2 linked regions of the Coturnix japonica genome follow. The protein of the gene in region 2 interacts with the protein of the main gene of each other region in a biochemical or structural test. Links are inferred from orthologs where the notes say so. Each region holds a gene or a part of one and is shown on either strand. Other genes may lie near its edges.

Region 1 (6,322 bases), on a different chromosome or scaffold from region 2:
GGTAACCAGTGTGTTGATTTTCATGCTTAATTTCATCTAAAGTAAAGTAGAACTTGTGGCATCTGTGTCTGCCTCTTACCTTCCAGGTATCCCAGGAGTCTGAAAAGTAATACAGCGCTGCTTCCTCTTGCATGCAATGTAGCACGCAGAGAAACCATCTATTTGCATAATACCCGGATAAGAATTACTTAGCAGTGTTTGAGGGAAGCAGAAACTTTTCATGTGAGAAAACTCACCTATTTGTGCTGAGCATTTTGAGGTCAGAGGTGAGCGAAAGCCTCATGCAGACAGAAGCTGTCACGCTGTTGTGGTTGGGCTTTTGTGTGCTGTGCTTTGGAAACCAGGCAGCTTCTACCGCCAGGCCCCAGGGAACCACCAGGAACAGCTGGGTGCTTTCAGTCTTGTTTTCGGGGCTGACATACGCTGGAAGGTGGAGCAGAGCCTTGTTTGAGCGCTCAGGAAACAACAGGCGACTTTGGTGCCTTTCCTACACCTTTGTCTTAGGCCTGCTGAGCCTCACCTACTGTTTTGATTTTGGCAGCAGATAGCCCTTACAAAATAACAACTTCAATACATTTTTCTTCTTGGTTTCTATCACCTGCATTGCCAGCTACGTTTGGCTGCTTGAAGTTACTTTAACAGGGATGGATGTTGGAGAGCCAGTGTGAAAGGAGCAGAATGCACAGCAGATGCTTTTTGCCATGGCTTACAGCTGTGTGATGGCATGGGAGACACTTCAGACAGTACCGCCAGCTTTAAAGCTGGCGTGTTCCGTACCATCCTGAATACCTGATAATGGCCATTAAAAAATAAATATTCTAAGCCTCACTGTGCTATTTTCAATGTAAGTATTCCACATTGCAATTTCCAAGAACCTCTCATGTATATTGTTATAATTACTCTTGGGAAGCAGGCACAGCCTCATAGCTGAAGATGTGGTGGCTGTGGAGGTCCCCATCTCAATTCCATCTCTGCCCATGCATGGCAGCAGCGATGCCCTTGCAGTGCTGGAAGCTCCCAAAGCACAGAGCAGCGGTCCCAACACCGTGCGTATGGCACAGGTTGGAGACGCAGAGCTCGGTGGCTGTGCAGATGGACCTGAGATGAGCTCCCAGCTCAGGTGGGCACTGCAAGAAATCTGCTGCAGGTGTGGAGGCTTCCTCGCACGCAGGGTGCTGCAGCTGCCCGCGCTGCTCTTCCCTCCCACAGCGCCAACAGCTGAGCTTCAATTGGAGGTCAGGTGAGGGCTGAGCAGCGCAGCCCCCTGCAGCACCAGCAGAATGCTGCCCTTCAGTGAACTAACAGCAGAACAACAGGCTGCTCAGTGGGGGCTCTGAGCCTCTTTGGACACACACAGGATCTGTCATTCTCTTCTAAGGATGATGAACAACACAGTAAAGAGTAAAACATTGTGTTGTTTATGAAAATACAATATGCAGTTTATTGATTTGTTGTTGCTGTTGTTGTTTATTGCCATGATTTGTCTTTTTTTTTTTTCCCCCAAGAGTCTATTTCACACACTATGTATAGAGCAGAGAAAAGTTGGTATCGCAGTATATGACCAAACAACCGCAGTTGTTTTTTTCTATAAAAGGAGGAGAATGGAGGACAGGCAAGATTCTGATCGATTCTGACAGTTCAGCAGAAGCACATTACAACTTGCAACAGAGCAGCATCAACTCTACAGAAGAAATCATGATAGCATTCCTTATTGCTGAAACAAAATGCCAATGCTACCGCAACCCATAGAATGCCTGCACCTTGCAATCCAAGATACCGTGGTGCATGTGTATGCGTATATATGCGTGTACTTGTAAACAGAGATTTTCCTTATAGCTTCTGTGTGCTTTTATGGAGAACTGGATCACTCTGTGGTTTGCCAGAAGTAGCCACGAGGCAGATTAATCCTGTTTGGTGATGCAAGGCTGCCTCATCGAGGATTTCTGATGCTCCAGCAACGTGATGGACTTCTCAGAATTCTCCAGGTTTCGGAGCAGAGTCTCTAACCTTCTTTTGATCTTCTTCTGATCCTCGATAGCGCATCCAATGACAACGGACTGAAATTTCTGATCAATGGGTCCTGCCGGCACATCAGACGTGCACGCGCCGTAAAGCGACATTAAGCGGATTTTGGCGTCTTCCAAATCATCCAGGAGCTTGTTGACGATTTCATCGATCATCTTGGTGGCGTGCAGGAGGGACTCCTGCTGCTGGGCGTTACGGATGGTTTCAACAGAAACCTCCACAGTGAGGGTTCGGCCCATCAGACGGTTGGCAGTCAGGTTAAGTTCTTCTCTCTCACCTAAAGCGAAAGCAGAAGGTATCCTGTGTTACTGACTAACACCTCCCAGTGCCTTTACATCACCAAGACAAGCAAAGTGCTACCGTGTGCCAACATGGATGTCTGTTGTTTCTTTTCTTTTTAAGAGGTGACAATCAGATTGATTTTCAGGGGCCAGAGGTTTTACATCTACGTGCCTGAGTCCCACCCATGTCACAGAGGCTGGTGTCTTCTGATCTGAAATTAGGCTGTAAGCTTTAAGAAAGGTATAAGCGATGTTTTTCCACTGCTGACACAGTGCTTGTTTTGTCACACTGCAGTAAAGCACCATATCAGGAAGCATTGATCATTACAAAAGCAGGCACGTGAGGGATGGACCCTCAATGCTGCTGTGAGAAAGAGTATAAATACACGGCACCTCGAAAGGCCACAGACAGAAGAGTTACTTTGCTTACCAGATGCAGTTAGAGGCCATTAGCAAAAAGGAAACGGGGACCCCAGAGGGAGGGAAGGCCCATCGGTATCCTCTGCCAGCTCCAGCATGGTGCCTTTAGCACTGGAGCAGCTCCCCTTGCTGGTCTGCTTTTAGGGCAGACAGGAGGGGATGGCAAAGCAGCTTCTCACCTTCACTGATGTGCCTCATGTCCTGGCTGTTCTGTATGTTGTGGATCATTTCTAGCAGGGTTTCTTTTTCTTGTTCCATAGCAGATGCTGCGTCACGGAAAGCCTCTACCCTGGGCGTAGTTAAACCAAACAAAGTCTTTCAATAATAAAACACATTTTCCCCCATAAAACTGCCAAGATCTTTCAATTAAACAAAAAAAAAAAAAAAAAAAAAAAAAAAATCAACAAAAGAGCCCCACTGCAAGTGCAGTCAGCTTGCAAGTATCTGTGCTCCAGACATTCTGACTCCATGACCCCCACCTACATAAAAACTTAATCTTTCAAGACACAAAATCATTCTAAAACTGAATACATGAGCCAATAGATAGAAAACAACCAGCTCCTTTGTAATGTGAGAAGAATGGGACAGACAGGCAAGGTGAGCATGTTTTGTTGCCTTTATGGGTAGTCCTGCCAAGCGCCTGCTTTCACGTCGCTGTGGTTTGTTTCTCTCCATAAAGATGCAGCAAACTGGCAGGAGGCTGTGACTCACAGAGGATGAAGCTCTGTTCTGGTCAGCTCCTATTTCTGGGCTTGCAGGAAAGCACGCAGTTGAGCTATCCTGAAATCAGACCCTTTCCCTGCACAACTCACTGTGCTGAACCTGACACGTGGCACACTGCTGCCAAGGGGTCAGGCACGGGGCAACACTGTGCCATGAGCTGTTCAGCCAGAGAGCTGCCCAGCTGTGTGCTGCTGCGTTGCCACTCTTCACCCACAACCCATGGCTTCTTCCCTGCCACGGCTTTTAGGAGAGGGCTTTTGCTCAGAGCAGTGTCACCTAGAGCAGCACAAGGGGAACAGCTGCCTAGGAGAGAAGGGGCAGGAGGGGCACCTTCCTGACTGCGCCTGCTGGGTGCTTGGAGAGATCCCAAGTCCAAGCAAAGCATCACATGAACCTGGCCAATGGCTTGGGATGCTTTCAACACAGCTCAGAGACCTTGATGCTGCAAACAGGCAGGGAATGCACCCGGCCTGGTATATTCATTAAGTCTGTCCAGAAAGCGAAAGCAAACCGAAGCACTGCTAACTCTCCAGTTCATTCTTCTTCCTTGCTTTATAGTGCTCTTCCGTGGTGGTGCTGGGAAAAGGGAGAAGGCAGGTGGGGCCAGGAACTCAGGGCCTTCAGTACCCACACGCCTCACGCACGCTGAGCTCAAGGAATGGCTCTGTTTGACGAAATCTTTAGGCTGAGTTCCCCAGTGAAACCACACGCTTCAGGCCCTCCCTTTCATGTTAATGTGAGGAGGAATGGGAAAAGTTAATGCAATGCAAATTCTTGCCAGGAGCAAATATTCTTAATTGTTATTTTGGATGGGTTAGTAAGAGTAATAAGGGCAGGTGGAGCCACTTCATACTTCAGATGTCAGCACTTTATAATTTAGGAAGTCTAGCAGAATTTTCATACGTGCCTCGCCGTGCCTTTAAAAAAAACCAGCACTGTCACCATTTGGAAAGTCCATTTTGGTCCCCAGAAAGCTGAAACAAGTGCAAAATTTCACTTTTAACAGCATTTTTACATCAACTCAAGTCTGGCACTGCCCTGACTCAAAAGCAAAGGTCTGCCCTCAGTGCGCAGGTTGACCCGTGGCTCTTACCAGCTCTGCGTCCAAGATCAAGCTACCAGTTCATGGCCTACAAAGCCAGACTGTCAGAGACAACGACTGTGTACCAAAAACAATGACCAATCACACCTTTGATTGACATAAGTTTATAACTAAATCAGCTGTGACAAACCTGCAGGGCGCCCAGCACTTGATCCCCAGCTGGCTCCCTGCACCACTGCTGAGGAAATGACAGAATGGCCCAGGTTGGAGGGGACTTCAAGGATCATGAAGCTCCATCCCCCCACCACAGGCAGGGCCACCAACCTCCCCATTTAACACTACAACAGGCTGCCCAGGGCTCCATCCAACCTGGCCCTGAACACCTCCAGGGATGGGGCATCCACAACCTCTCTGGGCAGCCTGTTCCAGCTCCTCACCACTCTCATAGTAAAGAACTTCCCCCGGACAGCCAGCCTAAATCTATCCTCCTTCAACTTAAAGCCATTTCCCCTTGTCCTGCAGTTATCTGCCCTTTCAAAGAGTTGACTCCCCTCCTGTTTATAGGCTCCACCCAGCAGCACCAGAGGGCCAGACCATGAGAACCTGTGAGCTTTCACTCAGAAACACGCAGGGCTGGGTTCTGGAGTTCAGTCATCAGCCTGAGAAATGCACTCAGAGGGCAGGAGAAAAGGGCTGAGAAGGGCATGGCTGTAGCTATGGGGAGCTGGACCACAAGCAGGGCAGGACTTGTGATTCTGTGACTTCTTCAGGAACCCGCAGACTGGGTAGAAGGAAACAAACAGCACTGTATTGGTCTATGCAGGAAGAGAGAGAGACAGGTAGGGGAACGTGCTGAGGAGATGCAGGCAGGCTTTGTCAAGGTAACAGTGTGGGTTCCTACCACTAGGTATTTCAGTGACTGACTGACTTTAAAAAAAAAAAAAGAGAAGGAAGAGAAGGGAAGAAAATAAATCGCCATGCGTGAATACAATCTGAACTGGCGATATATAGCCTCTGTCCACAGAGAAGGGGGCCTGGAAAGGTCACAAGTGGGTATCAGATTGACAGACAGGATTACACACCCAGTCACGCCAGCGGCCATTTCTGTGGGCTCCTGACTGCCCCTCCCCAGCTTGCTCTGCTGGCAGCGAGGGCACAGTGCCTAAGGCAGACCCGACTCTGGCAGCTTCCTCTCCTTGTAGAAGGCTGTCAGGTCTGTGCCTTACTGTGGTGAGTGCAGCAGTATGGGCTTCTTTCTGCTGGGTGAAAATATCCAATGACATCCTTATGGATGGAGTTTATCTGTTGCTTTCAGCATTAGTTTAATATTCCGCGGATCGTCTGAGCCTAAAAGAACCATTCTTCACTCCTGACTTGCCTTGGTCTGAGAGCGATGAGAGGTGCCATGCCGTTCTTCTCTGCATGCCATGGACATGAGCAGAGCATTCCCTGGAGGAACAGGTGGGCCGACCCACGCTTTGTTCCACCAGCAGAAACGTGATATCCGCTTTCCTGGGACAGCTGCAATAACGCATTAACCAGGGGCTTGCAGAAATAGCTCACTGCAGCTCGCCCGCTGGAGATGAATTTCCAGAAGGATGCAGAAACACTCAGTGAGGCCTCAGCGCTTTTTCCTGAAACACAGCTCAGCCAAAGTGCCGAGGCCAAGTGGGACCCTTCAGCCCGCTGTCCTCAGCTGCTCCTGCTGGGCTGGGGCTTGGAGTAATGAGCAGTGAGGAAAGGGCTGAGAAGAGGACAAAAGGTACAAGAAGTTATAAAGGGAAAGAAAGGAAACAAAAGCAGGAGTCTGTGTTTGTGCCTGTGCATCGTT
Region 2 (6,312 bases):
TGTTGTCAGACTTCAGGTCTCTGTGTGCTATCCCGTGTCGAACGAGATGATCCACGGCTTCCAACAACTGCAAAATCATCATGGTGGACAGTCGGGTATCTGGGCTGTTGTCCTTCAAATACTGGCACAGGGTGCACGGATAGCTGGTCAGAACACAGATGATACCTGAATTAGCATCCCAGAAGCCTTTCCTTTCCCATTTGACTTCAGTGCTGTCTGGCTGGGGATACACTGCACTTAGAAGTGCCAAATTCCTCCTGAACTTTGCCATGCCTTTCAATTTCTGAGTCACAAGCACAGACAGCTTGCCTTTATTGTTGAACAAGAGCTAAAATCTCAAGGATCTCAACAGCTCTCAGAAGCCACGTTTCCAAGAGTGTACTCTGACTTCTGGCAACAACCCAGGCCAAATCTCTAGCAGGACCCATGCAGCAGAACACACAGCTCTGCTGGGCAACCCCACAAAGTTCCAGCCCCCAACAAGCTTCTCCCCACCTACTTTTTCATCACTAAGAAGAGTGTGTGGCTGCGACCGATCCCTCTGGGATTCAGGCTCACTGGAAGAACATCAGGATAGTCTGTGAGGGCTCCAGGCAGCAACGGGACAGAGGATGTGAAAGCTCGGATCACCTGGATTATATTTGGATGAGGTCTCAATCTCTTCCTCCCAAGGACAGGTTCTCTGTGTAAAGATACAGACATAAGTTACACTGATCTCTATGACCTCCAGGGTTATTTTTCATTACTATGGTACATCCCCTCCACCAAAGGGTTCCAAAGCAGCAGATAAATATGTCTGTTCTGCTGTCACCTTGTGACTGGATTTCCTGCAGTGTGATGGATAAGCAGAAACACTCACACTCAACATGCAGCCTTTCATTTTCTACTAACCCTGTCCTTTTAGACTGAAAATAAAGGCCAGATTCACACTGCCACATATCACCTTAGACCTCGTATTTACTAGCACAGACAGGAAGCATTCAGGTTACTGACTATGCAACTGCAAAACAGAGCTCTCCTCTCTGAACATCAGATAGTCCTTTGGCTTCATTGCATTCCCAGGGTAACAACACACCAAGCAGCATTTGTTATTCATCTATACTGTCAACTGAGACATATTTCAAGTGTAAATCAGGCAGTCTGGACTGTGGAGTACGTTCTCACTGCTTTTCCAACAGTTAACTTACTCATTATCAGAGAGCAATGCAATTTACATACTTTACACATGGGGAAGCTGAGGCACAGTGCCCCATCAGACCCAAAGCAGATGGGTTCCTAATCATCCCATGTCCTTCCAACACTCTTCAAGACTAAGACACTGGAGGGAAGCACACGGCCAAGCTGCAGGTATCTCCTGCATGCCAAGTGCTCCTCAAAGCAAACAAGACTTTTAAATTACTATTTGAACAGCACCACTGCTACGCTGTTCCCTCACTAGAGGGAAGTCACTAGGATAGGCAGAAGCGTGCTCTTGCATGGCAACTGAGGCATACAGCACCAACAAAGGCAGTGCCATTTAGCTAAGGCACACACACACATGGAATAATCCCAAGGATTCATGCTCAGTTCTTCCCATAAGATATCACAGAAACCTCCAGCTGCATTCTGTACAGCACAGACGTGCTGCAGAACGAAACCGATGGATCAAGCTGGATCAAATTAGCACATAATACCCTGAGAACAGCTGTCATTGCGATGGATACTGTACCTGCGATGGGAGATGGCTCCATATTCCCCAGCTAAAGCAGTCTGTGTGGCTGGAACGAGCTCTCGGTGCATATTGCGCAGGATGCCTTCACTTGAAGAGTCAGCCTGCAACAGCAACGTGCTGTCAGCTCCACAGGAATAATGACTGGCTGTGTGACTTGTCACTAACAACAGGCATTCAATGTCTTGTCCTTATCGAATGGCTTAGACTGGAGAGGACCTTAAAGATCATCCAGTTCCAAGACATTATGTAGGCTGGGTGGCCCCTCACCACATCAGGTTGCCCTGTGTAACCTAACTCTGGGCATATCCAGACACACAAGGAGGATGTTAAGAGCTGACTCCTTACCGAGATGTTCCACATCATTTTGATAGCCAGGGGGAAGGCAGCTTGCTGTTGGCTTTTATCTGCCGGCTCCTTTTCAGACACAGGCAGAGCTGAGCTCTGTGTGCTCCCCTGGCGATGGAGGGATGAAGGAATAGTTGCTTCATAGACAGCAGCATTGCAGCCCTTCCCAAGGGGCTGCCCGATGAGATAATCCTCCAGCTTAAAGCCCCGCCATCGCAAAGAGCTCAGCGGATCTTTCTGCGCCTTGTTCTTCCCAACAAACACCGTCTGAAAGGAAAAACGAAGGAAAAGTGGAATGAGAAAAGCATTCAGTTTATTCAAGACTATTCAGTTTATTGACAGGCTGAGGGAGTTGGGTTTGTTCAGCCTGGAGAAGAGAAGGTTGCGGGGTGACCTCACTGCAGCCTTTCAATACCTGAAGGGAACTTACTCCCAGGAGGGGAGTAAACTCTTCAAAAGGGCTGACAATAGCAGGACACAGGGAAATGGTTTTAAGTTGAAAGAGGGAAGATTTAGGTTGGATGTTAGGGGGAAAGTTGTTTACTAGCAGAGTGGTTAGGCCCTGGAACGGGCTGCCCAGGGAGGTTGTGGATGCCCCGTCCTTGGGGGTGTTCAGGGCCAGGTTGGACGGGGCCCTGGGCAACCTGATCTAGTAAAGGTGTATGTTTGGTAGCCCTGCCAGGCAGGGGGGTTGGAACTACGTGATCCTTGAGGTCCCTTCCAACACGGGTCATTCTGTGATTCTGCAAAGACTGCACAATAAAGGAAAGCTGGAGTGCTTGGAAAGAGCAAAATGCCTTTTAATCAACCAGGAAAGCCCAAGTGACTGTTAAGTGCAAAATGGCCTTATTTTCAACCAGCCTAAAGCACGGGTTGGTACTGAATGGGCTCCGAGATCCCTTCCAACCCAATAATACAGCGATTCCACACACAAAGACAGACCGAAAGCCGCAGCCAGAGGCTGCCATTCAGGCTGTAACCATGGGGACAACAGAACCCCCCTAAGGCTGGAAAAGGCCACTAAGCTCATCACGTCCAACCCCTCCCCGTAGCCCCACACCTGGATCCGGCCACACGCCGCCCTCGCTCTTCGTTGTTCCTCCAACGGCGGCTCCAACAGCGCCAGCCCCAACGCCAACGCCATACAAGGCCCGGCCCGGACCCTCCGCACCGCCATTGCCGCTAGGCCAGCCGGGCGTCTGAAGGAGAAGAAGCGGCCGAATGGCAGCCGGGAAAAGAGGGAAGATGGAGGAACGGCTGAGGGGACAGGAGGGGGGACGGGGATGGGGAGGGGGCGGCGGCCGGGCAGCAGGCGGTAGGCCCGGGATAACAGCACCCGAAACAACATGGCGGCCACCGAGCGCCTCAGGAAGAGGCGGGAAGAAGGCGGAAGCGGAAGGGGCGGGGCTACAGGGAAAGTGGGCGTGGTTATGGGGAGGGGGCGTGGCTATGAGGAAGGGGGCGTGGCTACGAGGAAGCGCGTAATGCGCAATGCGCATGCGCAAGGTGAGGGCTTAAGGTGCTGCTGCAGGTTGCATTGGTGCAGCATGCATTGGTGCATGGAGTGCAGTGAGTGCATGGAGGGCATAGTGCACACAGCACTGAGCACGCAGGGCATGGTCCAACAGGGCACAGAGCACAGCATGCCTCGTTAAAGTAACACGTCATTGGGTTTTGTTCCATTGCTGTTTCATTGTCAAGGAATTGCTCTTTGTCCTCACGAAAGCAAGCAAAAATATAGAGAGAAAGGAGAAAAATAGGCTAAAAAAAGGAGCTGTGGCATCACATTGGCTGCACGGTGAACACAGTGCACAAATGGCTGCTGGATAATGCTGGGAACTGGAGCTGATATTGCTTTTTATCCCCTGTTGGGCTGCATTGGATCCAAGCAACACCCATGGAGCAAACTCCATTGTCCCCAATGGAGTCAATTGCATAGAGGGGGAGTGATCCAAGGTGCTGAAAGGGAAATGCAGGTGTGCAGTTCATGCCTTCTGCAGGTCCTCGGGGCCAAAGGAGAGTGGCAGGAGCTCCCGTAGTGTCTTCACAATGTAGGTGCCATCAGGTTTGGTCAGGTAGATGTCCCAGTCTGTGCCAAACTACAAGGAGAAAAGCAGGAGAGAGGGTCAATAGGGAATCCATGCTGCAGCACCCACAGCTCAGCTCAACTGCTGGGCTCCCTTAGTTTGTTCAGCCCAGAGATGGAGGGGTGGCCCCCATCCATGGTGGCCTGCAGCTCCTTGTGGCCCTCCATGCCCCCAGCATGGCAGGGGCTCCACTCACCTCTCTCATCACCTGTCTGCAGGCCCCGCATGGCGTGATGAAGTCTGACATGTTACTGCCAAAGCAAAAGAGCCACACCAGGTTCAGTATCACTCCATCCCAAAAGCCAAAGGGAATCAGACATAGAAACCCAAAGAGATTCCCCCAGACCCAAAGGGATCGCTCCAAAACTAAAGGTGGAACCACACTGGAAAAGAAAGGGATCACCCAAAACCCAATGAAATCACCCAGAACCTAAATAGGGCACCTCCCCAAAGGGTATTACCCAAAACCCAAAGGGGGCACCACCACAAAGCCCAAAGGGGATGCCCTAAAATCAAAGGGGGAATCACCCCCCAAACCAAAGAGATTGCCTCAGAATTAGAGGGAGAACCATCCCAATAAGCAAAGGGATCACCCCAAACTCAAAGGGGGTACCTCCCCAAAGCCCAAAGGAATAGCCAATAATCCAAAGGGCGGAACACTCCAAAACCCAAAGGGATTCCCCAAAACCCAATGGGACTGCCCAAAACTCAAAGGGAGAACCACCCCATTGAACAAAGCGATCAGCCAAAACCCAAAGTGGGCAGCACCCCAAAAGGGAGCACTACGCCAAAACCCCAAAGAGATTGAACAAAACCCAAATGGGGCATCACCCTAAAACCCATAGAGTGATGTGGTGCCATGGGTGCCAATGGCCTCACCTGGCAATGGCCATGGCCTTGAAGCGTGTGTGCCCTTCGGAGATGGCTTTTAGGATGGCTGCACGCTCAGCGCACATCCCAAGGCTGTAGCAGGCATTCTCTACGTTGCATCCTATAGGGAAGCACCAGCATCACTCACCACCCCATAAAGCAAAAGGGAAGCATTCCAAAAAGGAAAGGGATTGACTAAAAAGCAAAGAGGGAAGCATGCCAAGAAGCAAAGGGATTGCATAAAAGTCAAAGGGGACACTGCCCCGTAAAGCAAAGGGAACACCCAAACAGTAAAGGGATTGCCCCAGAAGAAAAGGGGGAACCACCTCAAAACCTAAAGGGTGAAACACTCCAAAAGCCAAAGGAATCACCCAATGCCCAAAGGGAGCACCACCCCAACACCCAAACAGACCAACCCAAAAGCAAAGAGGGGACCAACCCAAAAAGCAAAGGAGGAACCACCCCAGAAAGCAAAGAGGGAACCATCTGAAAACCTAAAGGTGCAACGCTCCAAAAACAAAAGGGATTGCCCAAAACCCAAAGGGAGAACCACACAAAAACCCAAAGGAACTGCCTCAAAATCATAGGGGGACCACCAAAACACAAAGTGTTTGCCCCAAAATCACTGGGGGAACCACCCCAAAGCCCAAAGGAGGCACTAAAAGCCCCCCAGAAAAACATAAAAGAGATTATCAAAGCGAATGCCACCCTAAACCCCAAGGGAATCACTCCAAACCCAAAGGCTCCACCACCCCAAAACCCCACAGGGCTCAAGCCAAACCCAAAACAGCCAACACCCCAGAACCCATAGTGGGGGGCACCATCCCAAAGTGACCCCCCGGAACCCAAATAGACCATTACCCCACAACCCCAAAGCAATATCTCACCGGAGAAGATCTCCCCATTGGCGGTGAGCAACGCGGCACCCACAGGGAAGCGGCTGTAGGGGCAGTAGGCACAATCTTTGGCCTCACGACAGCGGCGAAGCAGCAGCTGAAGGCACTCACTGCCCTCCATGTCTGCACTGCCTGCCCCACACGATGACGCCGACGTGGTTAAATATTGCCCTGATTGCAACGCCCTGTAGGGATAACGCCCCACGTGTGCGCTTGGGCATCATCCCCAGCCTGGAGTTATTGGGATCAGGGTGGTGGAGGTTGAGCAATTTTTCTCTGTGTTTTCCCTTTTTATGTGTGTGTCTGTGTGTTCTAAGCTGGAGTGTTTTCATACACAGCCTTGTTTTCCTTCCTCCCCAGCAGGAATTTGGTGCCAGGAACGTCCTGGGGGGAGCCACAGAGA

Evidence for each region.
Region 1: the proteins of PINK1 (region 2) and BAG2 form a complex in vitro, tested with the Homo sapiens proteins (2 studies listed by BioGRID). The link is inferred for Coturnix japonica from reciprocal best matches to the Homo sapiens genes PINK1 and BAG2.

The regions. Positions count from the first base shown.
Region 1 is NC_029518.1:79,191,761-79,198,082, forward strand, and holds the end of BAG2 (BAG family molecular chaperone regulator 2), read right to left. Parts: intron 3,016-6,322; coding exon 2,906-3,015; intron 2,303-2,905; coding exon 1,902-2,302; 3' UTR 1,396-1,901; downstream 1-1,395. UniProt on the Homo sapiens protein: Co-chaperone for HSP70 and HSC70 chaperone proteins. Acts as a nucleotide-exchange factor (NEF) promoting the release of ADP from the HSP70 and HSC70 proteins thereby triggering client/substrate protein release.
Region 2 is NC_029536.1:4,263,906-4,270,217, reverse strand, and holds the start of PINK1 (serine/threonine-protein kinase PINK1, mitochondrial), read right to left. Parts: upstream 3,970-6,312; coding exon 3,952-3,969; exon of another isoform or gene 3,708-3,951; intron 3,504-3,707; coding exon 3,117-3,503; intron 2,324-3,116; coding exon 2,057-2,323; intron 1,813-2,056; coding exon 1,709-1,812; intron 683-1,708; coding exon 500-682; intron 144-499; coding exon 1-143. UniProt on the Homo sapiens protein: Serine/threonine-protein kinase which acts as a sensor of mitochondrial damage and protects against mitochondrial dysfunction during cellular stress.